2 linked regions of the Nothobranchius furzeri genome follow. The protein of the gene in region 1 interacts with the protein of each later gene in a pairwise test. Links are inferred from orthologs where the notes say so. Each region holds a gene or a part of one and is shown in the gene's direction. Other genes may lie near its edges.

Region 1 (5,823 bases):
CAGCACACACACACACACACACACACACACACACACACACACACACACACACACACACACACACACACACACACACACACACACACACACACACACACAGCTGATCATCTGCTGCATAAAAAGCCACAAACTTTTTTTTATGTTAGCATCTGAAACCTGGCTTAAGTCAGACAGCAGTAGAGAAACACTCTGTTGTCATGGTCACAATGTCACTGTCTTTGATCTGAGATCGTTTCTAGACATCTACAGTATAGGAGGAGACATGTCCAAAGTGGTCTTCAACTGGACTCAGGAGGGACAACATCCTGTATAAAAGCACTTTCAGGTCTCATGACTGTTGAGGACTTTGCGTCTCATCCTCAGCAGAACCAAAATGACCCAAAAACAGCTCCGAGAAACAGAACTGAGAAGCTGGTTGGAATGTCATTGTTTTTTTCTCAATCACCTCTTCATGCTCTTCTTGTGCACGGCACTTTCGGAACCTCATACTATGATACATGTGCCCTGGTTGGGACATGCCAACCTGTCATGACTGAAGTAGATCTCTTTAACAAGAGGCATCCCCCAGGGCGCGCGCGCGTGCGTGTGCGTGTGTGTGTGTGTGTGTGTGTGTGTTCAGGCGAACATGCCATCATGTTTGTGGCGTGGTCTGCTGGAGCAAGGCGGGGACTACAGACCCCACTTCCTCATAGTCTTTGTCAGAAGCAGCCGAAGCAGCACAGAATCAAGAGCGCCCCCTACTGGGGAGTGGTGCTCCTGCATGCTGGTAAAATTCCACTCTCACTGATGAGGAAGGAAACCTCAAGTGCAGACGGGCAGAGAAATGACTTGATAAGGTCCTTCTGCGTGTTTTTGGGAATTCCAGGCGTGTGTGGCCGGACTGCTCTGAAGACTCGGAGTTGTCCCTAACCACAAAGAGCTCAAGAAGTCTAAAATAGCACATTTCCTGTCCCAAATGAAAGATAACTCCTCTGGCCGACACACTTCCCCCTTTTTCTGGAAACTTGAGACATTAAAGCTGTTAAAAGCTTCTTGGAAGCTCCAGCCTCCTTTAAGGCTGCTGTTTAAGAGCCTGAAGCTTTTATCGCTTTTCCCTCATACCGCTGATGCTTCTGCTGGCACCAGATACATGAATGTTGAAAAAAAAACATTCCAAATAAAGTTTAAGATGGTGATGTCACGCTGACAGTTATGTTACCCCCAGAGCTGTAGAGCTTTGTTTATACGTTTGTGCATTTCTGTTGTTGCATATTTAAACTTACCATAAACCCCAGTTTCATGCTGAGTTGCCTCACTTTACACATCTTTTATTTGTTTTACCTTTGTGTGAGAAACAAAATGATTTAGAGAAGCTAGAGACACCAGTCATGGCTGTGAGGTACAGGAGACCATTGGACTGTTTCCGGGCCAGGCTGGGGCCGACCGGTGCTACCCGGCCCGGGCCGACCCGGTACAGATGGGAATGGCCCATAAGACAAGTTAGCTACAGCTAATTAACAGTTAGCATGAAGCTAGCATTCATTGAGGCGGTTGTTTAGTGTTCCAGCCAGTTTGAAGGCAGTCTCTGAGAAGAAGTTAAAGACAGGTTACTGAAAGGCCTCAAATCAGAGAAATTAGTTTCATTCTACCGGACTGACAATTGCTAACAGCTAGTGCAAGGGAAGTGGTTCATGCAGCATCATTTCATGAATACAGTTTAATGCTCACTTGGAAAACTTCACGTGCAAAATGTGGCACTTCTGGCGAATCTAAGAGTCAAGTTCAATTGGAATATCGTAACATTCCCAAAGTTATTCCAGTTTTATGGAATGTTAAACATTTCACCAAACTGAGCCTTTTCAGAAAGCTATCTACTGTTAGTACAAACATTATTAATCACAACTTTGTTTATAGAGACACTGTTAAAAACGCAGAGTTTGCTACACAATCCCAATGTAGGAGCAACATCAGTTGTGCTCTCTTATCCAGTGAGCCCATGTCTCTCTGGGCGATGCAGCAGCTTTTCTAAAGCGGCTCACTCTGAGGATAACAACTAGCTGCCCCTTCTGCAGTTTGACGTACAACAAAATCTCTGGTCTTAACTTTAAAACCACAAACATGCCTTCATAACCTATGATTGCTCCGGAGCTGAGGAGCCTGCCCCGTCTTGTTACCAGATACCCTCCTGGATTCTTGTCTGGAGGCTGCTTGGCCTGTTTCTGCATGCAGAGTCCAAACATGCTGCATTCACCTAGAAATGATGAAGTTGGTCTCAATCCCAAGGATTAGTGTGTTTTAATCATTAAATATGTGTTTACACCTTCAGGAATTGTAGTCTAAAGAAAGGGTTTGTGCTTGCTGTGGGAATAAACGCCCCTAGAAGCCAAATGCACACGTCTGAATCCTTTTACAAAAGCTATAATCCTGCAGCACATCTACTGTGGTGAACTTACAAATCAAACATTACAAACTTTATTCCCCATAAATGCAGAAAGACTTTCAGCTGAACCTTCAGAGTGAGTGAGTCAGCAGCTCCATCTAGTGGTGCATGTAGTTAGTTTCATAGATGAAAGACAAAAACAATATGGCTGCTCCCTTGTTTGAGGTTCTCAGTTAGCAGGAAGAAGCTGAAACTCATGAAGAAGCTCAGGTAAATCAGTCTAAACCCATTTATTCTGTATTTAAGCGTGTTGCTGACATCTCTATCTACGTTAGGACATCAAACATAACAGACATGCATCCTGCCAAGGTCTAAAATAGATAACATTCTCTGCAGCCATGATGGACACAAAGGAAATCGTCCACCTTGCTGTCCAGATGGAGAAGCTGGCTGCAGACCGAAGCTTCGTGGACATCCAGACCCTCCTTGGTGACCTGGATAAGTCTCACATCACAGCAGAGCAGCTGGAAACAACAGAACTGGTCAAAGTCCTCTATGGAATCTTGAAGACCTGCTCAGACACCAATGTGAGGAAGGGGGTTAAGAGCTTGTTGTCCAGGTGGAGGAAACAGTACAGCTGTGAGAGGACAGGAGGGACACACTCAGATGAGAGAAAAGATCCTGCAGGTTCTTCAGCCCAAGTGGATGGAGATGGTGGAGTACGTGCTCCAGAACAGCAGGCAGACCGTCCCCTCCAGGGTACTTCTGCTTTGTCGGACTCTGTGAGGACCAAATGCGTTCACCTTCTCTTAGCTGCCCTCCATCCTGAACCTCCTGATCAGATCAAGGCGGAGCAGCTGGCTGAAGACATTGAAAAGCACATCCATGACCTCCACAAAACCAGCAGACTCAAATACAAAACCTGTGTGAGGAGCAAAGTCGCAAACCTGAGGAATCCCAAAAGTCCTCACCTGTGCCAGGGCCTACTGAGTGGCTCTCTGCTGCCGCAGGACTTTGCCAAGATGTCTGTGGAGGACATGGCCAGTCCAGAGCTCCGGCAGCTGAGAGAGGAGTTTTCATCACAAGGTGTGAGTGAGAGACAGCTTCCTCAAGGGGTGGAGGGGACGCCGACGCAGAAGATCCACTGCAAACGGTGTGGAGGATCAGACTGTAGGGTGACACAGGTGTCCAGGGGTGCTCTGTTTCTACCTGCATGGGTGAGGCAGGGAGGCATTGACCAGGACGCTATGACATTTGTGACCTGTAGGGGGTGTGGTCAGCAGTGGTACCACAGTGGCTGGGTTTGCTTCTAAATCAGGTGATGGTGGCAGAGGAGTTAATTTTTCATCCCCAAAACCAGAGGGTTGCAGATTTGCATCCCCGTTATTCTGACGCAGTCGTTGTGACAAGACACTTCATCCTCCTTACCTACTGGTTGTGGTGAGAGGGACTGGTAATGCCAGTGTGTCCCAGGGCAGCTCCATCCTTCCATCCTCCATAAACAAGACCCTTAAACCTCTAGAGTAGGGATTCCCAAAGTGTGGTGCGCGCACCCCCGGGGGTGCTAGGGGGTGCGCGAGGTGAAAAGTGTAATGGCTGCAGAGCTCAGAGAAGTCTGTCATATGTCACCATACATATATATATATATATATATATATATATATATATATATATATATATATATATATATAGCCATGCCCTGATGTGGGGGCTGGGGGGGTGCGTCGACATGGTCGGGACATAGAAGGGGGTGCGCGGCTAAATAAGTTTGGGAACCACTGCTCTAGAGGAACAGATGGTCCCAGCCTCACGAAGAACTTTCAACCTTTATTCTAAATACCAAACCGGCTTTTAAACAGTTTTATTTGTTTTCTGGATTAAATAAATGTGTAAGTCAAGTATTTAGTTTAGCTTCCCTTAAAGAGGGACTGCACACCATCAGAAAATGTAACTCCACCCTTAGTCAAGATTTGAAACATGCCATGAAAGTGGGCGTTGCCAGGAGGCACAGAGTGGCATGGCCAAGTGCGGGGAATTTCCATCGCGGGAGGGAGGAGGAGTAGGAGGAGACTGTACTGATGACGTGGAATTGTACCAGCCCCAGTCAATCATAAATTTAAAATGCAGTAGCCACAGTTCAACCCACAGGGGGCAGCCCTAAGATGTTTCTAGATCTAGATTTAATCAAGTTTACACAAACATGTCAAAAAATGCACAGAAACAGAAATATTACATTTGTAAAGACCCAATTATACAGTTTATAAACAAAAAAAAAAAACGTTGTTTTGGGGGTTATTTACTCTTTAAAGCCCAGCCATGTTTTTGATTTACCTCTGAAGAGCTGAGGCACTGCTTTTAGTTGTAAAGTGAAACCAGAAGTTATTTAACTGCAGCCCCACTCATCAGATTCTCTGAATCATTTCCTGTCTCGCTCTTCAGAGATTTTACATTTGCAGCTGTTTATTTAAACGCCATTAGTGGCTTCCACCATCTTCCTGCTGCACTTATAAGTGAGTCATTGAGAGCTTGGATATCGGGTGAAACCCCAAAAAAGTGACAGCAAATATCTCATTCATTTGTTGCCAGTGGCGGTTTTACCATTAGGCATAGGTCGGCAGCCGCCTGGGGCCCCCTTCTGTTGGGGGCCCCCCTAGCCCTGACTGCTGGCACCCCCTCTGTTAATGCCACAATGGACTATTCCTATTGCACAAACAGGAAGTGATTGGTAGTCATTCCACTCCAATCCAGTTGGTGGCAGTAATGCACCAAATTCTTGTTTGCCAAGTGCCATAAGACCACAAAAAAGAAGAAGAGAGGCGGGAGCTTTCATAACAAACTCGAAGCAGTAGTCAAAACTAAGGATGAAATGGAGTTATCCTAGTGGCTCCAATAAGAGAAAGAAGCAGCTTGCTTTAAAAAAGCAATCTTCACTTTGAAAGTGACGTCGTTTTTCAATGTAAACATCACAAGGAAGCAGAAAAGCAAAGACAATGGAAAAATGTTTAAAGGAAGGAAAACATAGACCAAAATGGAAAATGGAAAAAAAGAAAGGCAAAAGCACAGGAGCACTGACAGGAAGCAGAAAGAAGAGCAAATATTGAAGGGACTCAAAGGGAGAGAAAGACAGGAAAAAGAGGAGGACTAATAAAAAGTGAATATAACTCATGTCAGAAGAGCGGAGAGTTTCGCAACTCCAGTTAAAGATAAGATTGTCGAAGCAGAAAGAAGAGCAAATATTGAAGGGACTCAAAGGGAGAGAAAGACAGGAAAAAGAGGAGGACTAATAAAAAGTGAATATAACTCATGTCAGAAGAGCGGAGAGTTTCGCAACTCCAGTTAAAGATAAGATTGTCGAAAATTTAGTGTGAGGGGGCCCCCATGTCTGTGTTCGCCTTGGGCCCCCAAATAGCTAAATCCGCCACTGTGTTGCAAACTGAATCCTGCGATTCAGACATGTGATTTCA
Region 2 (5,877 bases), on another chromosome or scaffold:
GTTATGCAACATTTTGTGAACATAAATGTATTTGCATTTATTTGTTATGAATGCCACTGTATAATTCTTGCTGTCAGTATTTGCAAGATATTGGTATTTGGGTCTGTACTGGTTAGACTTAAATGAGTTAAACCAAGGTCTATAGCCCTTGGGTCATAGACTATGAGCTATAAGTATATACACACATATATATATATATATATGTGTATATATATATATATATATATATATATATATATGTATGTATATATATATATATATATATGTATGTATATATATATATATATATATATATATATGTATGTATAGCCATGCCCTGATGTGGGGGCTGGGGGGTGCGTTGACATGGTCGGGACATAGAAGGGGGTGCGCGGCTAAATACTTTTGGGAACCACTGATCTAGAGCTCACGGTCAACTTCATTTTCATGGTTAAGAAAAACAAGTTCAAATGATCAACCCCATGCTCCACTTTGTGACCGAACATCTCAGCTTTGGTAAAGGTCATAGCTTTCCAGTGCTTGTGGTTTATTCAGATGCAACTTTGCAAACCTGATTTGTGTTCTGTTGATCTTTCGAAATCAAGCAGGTTTCCTCTTGCCAAATGTTTAAAACAAGTCATATTTCTTTAGTGATTTTCTAGGGTCACAAGCTTCTCTGTTTTAAGATCTATTACTTTTTCAATCGATCGATAATGGTCCAGTGTGTAGTGTAGATATAAATAGCTCTAAGATGACTTACTGAAAATTTAGCCATGTCTGCCATGGGTGTTTCAGGTATCAACTACATTCATAAAGGGTGGGTGAGATCAGAGGAGGGAAAATGCTTCTCTGAAGTCTTGGGAAGCTTTAGGCAGGAACAGAAACTTTATAAGTTGAATGTTTTTAGCACAATTCTTTGATATCTCAGTTAACACCAGACTTGATTTGAAAGGGCAGCAATTTAAAATATAAAAATCCTGCTAATATTGTTCATATCTGGGGTGGAAAGCTGGAAATATTACCAATGTGTTTTTGTTTGTTAATGTTTTACTATTTGTGTACTTCTGCTGCAGGAGGGACAAATGAGAGTGATTACTTGGATAGTCCTTCCATGAGGAATTGTCTCAGGAAAACCAGGGGAGAGCTGCTTTTACGGGAGTATGAGGTTGTCAAGTTTTTTTGCTCTATTTTAGTTCAGAATTCAGCTAAATGTCTTTGTTTTTGCCTTGTTAGCTAAACACAGTATGCATTTTTATTCAACAAGCTGTTATTTTGGTGGTTAGAAGGTAATTTTGCAAACTTCTTGTGACAGGAGGAGATCGACGGGCTTATGAGAGAAAACGAGGAGTTAAAAACAAAAAATCTACATCTGGAAGAGCAGCTGAAGACTGCGTTGCATCCCTGCAGCGTGAATTCAGCCCAACCAGATGACAAAAAGGTTTCTCCATTTGTTATGGAGGAATGGAAGAGCAAACTGCAAACGGCTACAGATGTCTGTGATAAAATAAAGCAGGACATGGACAAGCTCAGAGAGGTACACACGCTGGAGTGTGTTCTACAGAGAACGCTCAACATGACCTGTCTTTGGTTTGGATCCACTTGGTCAATCTGAATGGATGATCACCCAAATATTTTGTGTGCAGAAGAAAAAAAACACACATAAAAATAACTTACTATTCCATTCTTTTCTAGGACATTTTTAGTGGTTTTAAAAATCAATTCGTAAAATAATCTAGTTTCTAATGAGTCTGTGTGTTTTATTTTGTAGGCCAACAAGTCCTTACGATCTCAAAATGTTAACCTCATACACGAGAACACGAGGCTCAAGACCGAGGTGGCCAGCAGGTCTCCTCAGAAGTAAGTATTTTTGTGAAATGCCATCAAAGGTTCGCCTCATTTTTTGATCTTGAAGCCTTTTTTTGGGCTTTTTGCCTTGCAGTTTTCTCTTTTCCACACATAATTCTCTATCGTTTCCATTTATCTGCAACAGCTTAATCCTAAGAAGAGCAAGACAGTGATTTGTGCATTGGCAGCATCTTTGGTACTTCAATCATCAGAATAGTTAAAACATTTTTATTTTATAGAATTTTCTATTTAGTTTTGATATTTTTAAGATTAAATATAACGTAAACCGATACGGTTATCTGTCAGTCAAATAATGAGCAACACTCCACTGGATCAGCCTCAAGAAGTAACACTGCTAATAATTAATAAAAATTACACCTGCTTGTAACTTCCTGTCTTAAGATTTTTGCATTTTGGTGAAACTGATGGCTTGTTTTTGATTTCTAGCTCCCATAAGATATTTAAACTAAACGTGTTGTGACTACATGACACGCCATTTGACCTTTGTGTTGTGATTTCAAAATAAAATGCTCTGTCCTCAGGTTTGGTCGATACACAGTGGCAGCGCTGGAATCAAAGATTCAACAGCATGAGCGTGATGTGGAACACCTCAAACGAGCTCTGGAGCGCAGCGACCAGTACATCGATGAGCTGGAAGCTCAAGTCAGGAAATCTGAGAAGAAGCATCTTGAAGTCCAGGATACATTTGCAAGCAGCAACAGTGGGGCAGATGTTCTCAAACACGAGCAGAAATTCAACATGATGATGAGAAGTTTGAGTGACAATGAGAGGATGTCCATCTGCAGCAACCCAGAGGTCGAGTTTCGAACATTTTCTAGAAATCCCAGTTTGGTGTTCCAGCCATCTGTGGAAGACAAGAGTCCAAATGGAGAGCAGAAGAAGGAGGACTTGGAAAGCACCTCCTCTGATTTCCTTCCCACCACTCCATCTTCTGCTTTCCGATCCCTGACCCTGAGAAGTCCAGGCCTCCGCGGGAAGAAAGTTGCATTTAAACCTGTGCCTCATCTGAGAAAGCTTAACTTTGAGGAAAATCCAAGTCCATCACAGACAGCTTCAGCCTTGGGGAACAAATTCAGCAGCGTTGAGAAATCTCCCAAAGGCTTGAGTGACATGGACCCCTCAAAGTCTATCTTCTGGGGCTCCTGGCATCCAGGTCCAAGTGAAGACAACTCAGTGAAGGAATCTACATCTGCTAATGCTATAAGGGAAGACCCTAACAGCTTCCAGACATCTAGTGAGGCCTCCATGGATGCAGCTTACCTGGACAAAATATCAGAGCTGGACTCCATGATGCTCGATGGAGAAAGTTCCAGTAGCAGAGGATCACAGCTCTCCTTGACTTCCTCTCCTCCAGGAGACTTGAATGGCACCCTCACCCCAGAATCTCAAATCTGCCCAGATTCCTCGTCCGGCTCTGGTGGTAAACCTGCAGTCCAAGGTGAGGACGTACAACAGGATCTGGGTAGCAACATGGACGACACTTTGATTTCCAAAGAGGCTCCAAGTGGATCTGAGGATAATTTTTCTGTTGAGGGTGGTCCTTGTAGGTTTGGTTCCACTGAGCACAGAGAGCCCTCTCAAACTGATGAGCTGTCTTTTGATTTGCTGTTTGATCATCTGGATCAGGTCGAGGCTGTCCCCTCTGGCTCCCTCAGTCCAGAGGCCCAACTCCAAGATCAGGATCACGTAACTTCCTCTTCCTCTGGCTGCACTGGTAGTAAGCCTGTAAACACAAGAGACAGACACGCTCTGAACAGCAGCCAGCCAGTAAAGAGGAAGTCTCACAGCCCCTTTAACTCCAGCAGTCCCACCAAACTGTCCAAGCTCATGTGAAGGTTTCATACAACCCCCGTGATCTTAGATTAGATTCTAGCTATATGTTGTTGGGAAATAAACGAATAACAGTGATGTTATAGGGTGTAACCCATTGTCACGTGTCTTCTGTAGTGTTATATGGAACAAGCTAGGAAAACAGTTAAATAGCTTTTAAAATGCACTTGCAACATCTCAGCTCATTCACCGTCGGGCCTCTCGCTCTTTTTTACCTGCCTGCTTGTCTGTAATTTCCTTTTATTTAGCAATTAGGACACTGAAGATTACTGCTGGATTATGACTATCATGTGCTGTATTATAATGAATTAACACATGGAAAATTTTGTTAAGAAATAAAGAAATAAAGCAATGCAACCTCCCTGACGCCCCCTGGAGGCCACTGCTGTGGCCCCCCAGACTCTGGAGCTCCTGAGCCTGAGATCAGTGGACTCAGTGGTCTCCTTTAAAAAGCAGCTGAAGCTCACTAGGTCAGCCTGGCTTTTGCATGACCTTTGCCACTACCCTCTCCTTCTTCCTTTCTCATTCCGCCTTTCCCACGATCCATTGATTTCCCTCTTTCCTATAAATTTTCTGTCTCCCTTTACTTACATTTATTTGTTCTTTTCTCCTTTTAAACATATTTTTAATCATTTTAAAAAATCTTTTTATACTTAAATTTTTTGTTTTTGTAAAGCATCTCATGATTAATTTTGATCTTGAGAGGTACTATATCAATCAATCAATCAATCAATCAAAGCTTTATTTATAAAGCGCCTTCCGCAACCCTGTCAGGAAGCCCAAAGCGCTGAACATTGTACAGTTGTATGTAAATATATTGAATAAATCAACAATAAAAGAAATTCAGATTACAAAACACAAATTACAAAATACATAATGGAAATTACAAGATAGATGAAACATTCTGGTAAAGGACAAAAGTGTGAAACACATTTGGATTGAGTGGATGGATTGAGTGTACCAATGAAAACTGGAATGGATTCAACATAATAGAAGGCCATAATCAAACATGTTCTGGAAACGCCAAGCGGAGGAGGTGTGTTTTTAGGTGATTCTTAAAGACTGGCAGAGAAGGGGACAGCCTAACTGAGGGTGGCAACTGGTTCCAGAGTAACGGTGCTAGGACTGAGAAAGCCCGGTCCCCACGGGTACGACACCTAGACCGAGGGACAGCGAGCAGGCCTTGGTCAGAGGAGCGCAGAGCACGTGATGGGGAATGTTTGTTCAGGAGAGTGGCCAGATAGGGGGGAGCACCACTCTGGAAGAAATGATAAACAAAGACGAGGAAAATCGGAAGCCAGTGCAGAGAGGCCAGAACCGGACTGATGTGGTCCCGTTTCCTGGTCCCAGTCAGGAACCTGGCAGCGCTGTTCTGCACAACCTGTAGGCGATGCAGTGTTGACTGACACAACCCTGCATATAGAGAGTCGCAGTAGTCAAGCCTAGAAATTACAAAGGCATGCAGTACCCGCTCCAGGTGGGCTCTCGACAGCATATGCTTGATTTTTATATAAAAGATGGCATTTACCCCCCCCCCCCCCCACACACACACACACTCACAAAAAACGAAGACTTGAAGAAATGAAGATATTCTTTGGTGAGCCATATCTATTGTCCACATTTTCATGTAGAAAACAATGTTTAACAGTTTCTCAATGTTAACTGTGACAGTTATTAATTGGTTGGTATTAAAATAGAAATGACACTGCTTGTTAATTTGGACCAAAGCATGTCAGGAGCCATGTAATAGACCACACACACATTAAGTTAGTGCATTATTTATTATGCAAATGAAAGGATATTGTGTATATTTCACATACCTCTAATTGCTGCATGAAATTTTAATTGGATAACCATTGTGGTTAAAATTAATGATGTGTTAATTCATTGAGATAAATTTAGGTGAAGACTTCAAAATGATCAGTGATGTATTAAATCAATTTGTGTAGCTCTCATTTGGCAATGATGGACTTTAATGATCAGGTGGAGGACCCACCGCTGCCTCCTCCTCTTTGTCTAATTTAACAGGCAGTAAAGCTGGCAAGCTTTAAAATATGCAGTGAAATATTGGTCAATAGGTCAGGTAATATAAATATTTGTAAGTTGTCCGCATTACATAAAATCCTTTCTATTTCCCCTTCTGGTCAGTGGTCTAAATAAAGAACTGAGTCCAAAAGGGACTGTCACAGACTCCTGTGGAAA

The links.
Region 2: the proteins of transcription elongation factor A N-terminal and central domain-containing protein (region 1) and obi1 interact in binary tests that used the Homo sapiens proteins (3 or more experiments, as listed by UniProt). The two-hybrid records come from large-scale screens. The link is inferred for Nothobranchius furzeri from reciprocal best matches to the Homo sapiens genes TCEANC and OBI1.

What each region holds. Positions count from the first base shown.
Region 1 is NC_091754.1:47,118,658-47,124,480, reverse strand, and holds transcription elongation factor A N-terminal and central domain-containing protein, read left to right. Parts: upstream 1-2,541; 5' UTR 2,542-2,629; intron 2,630-2,694; 5' UTR 2,695-2,757; coding exon 2,758-3,672; 3' UTR 3,673-3,850; downstream 3,851-5,823.
Region 2 is NC_091749.1:40,139,042-40,144,918, reverse strand, and holds the end of obi1 (ORC ubiquitin ligase 1), read left to right. Parts: intron 1-1,052; coding exon 1,053-1,144; intron 1,145-1,291; coding exon 1,292-1,513; intron 1,514-1,747; coding exon 1,748-1,836; intron 1,837-2,366; coding exon 2,367-3,678; 3' UTR 3,679-4,023; downstream 4,024-5,877. UniProt on the Homo sapiens protein: E3 ubiquitin ligase essential for DNA replication origin activation during S phase.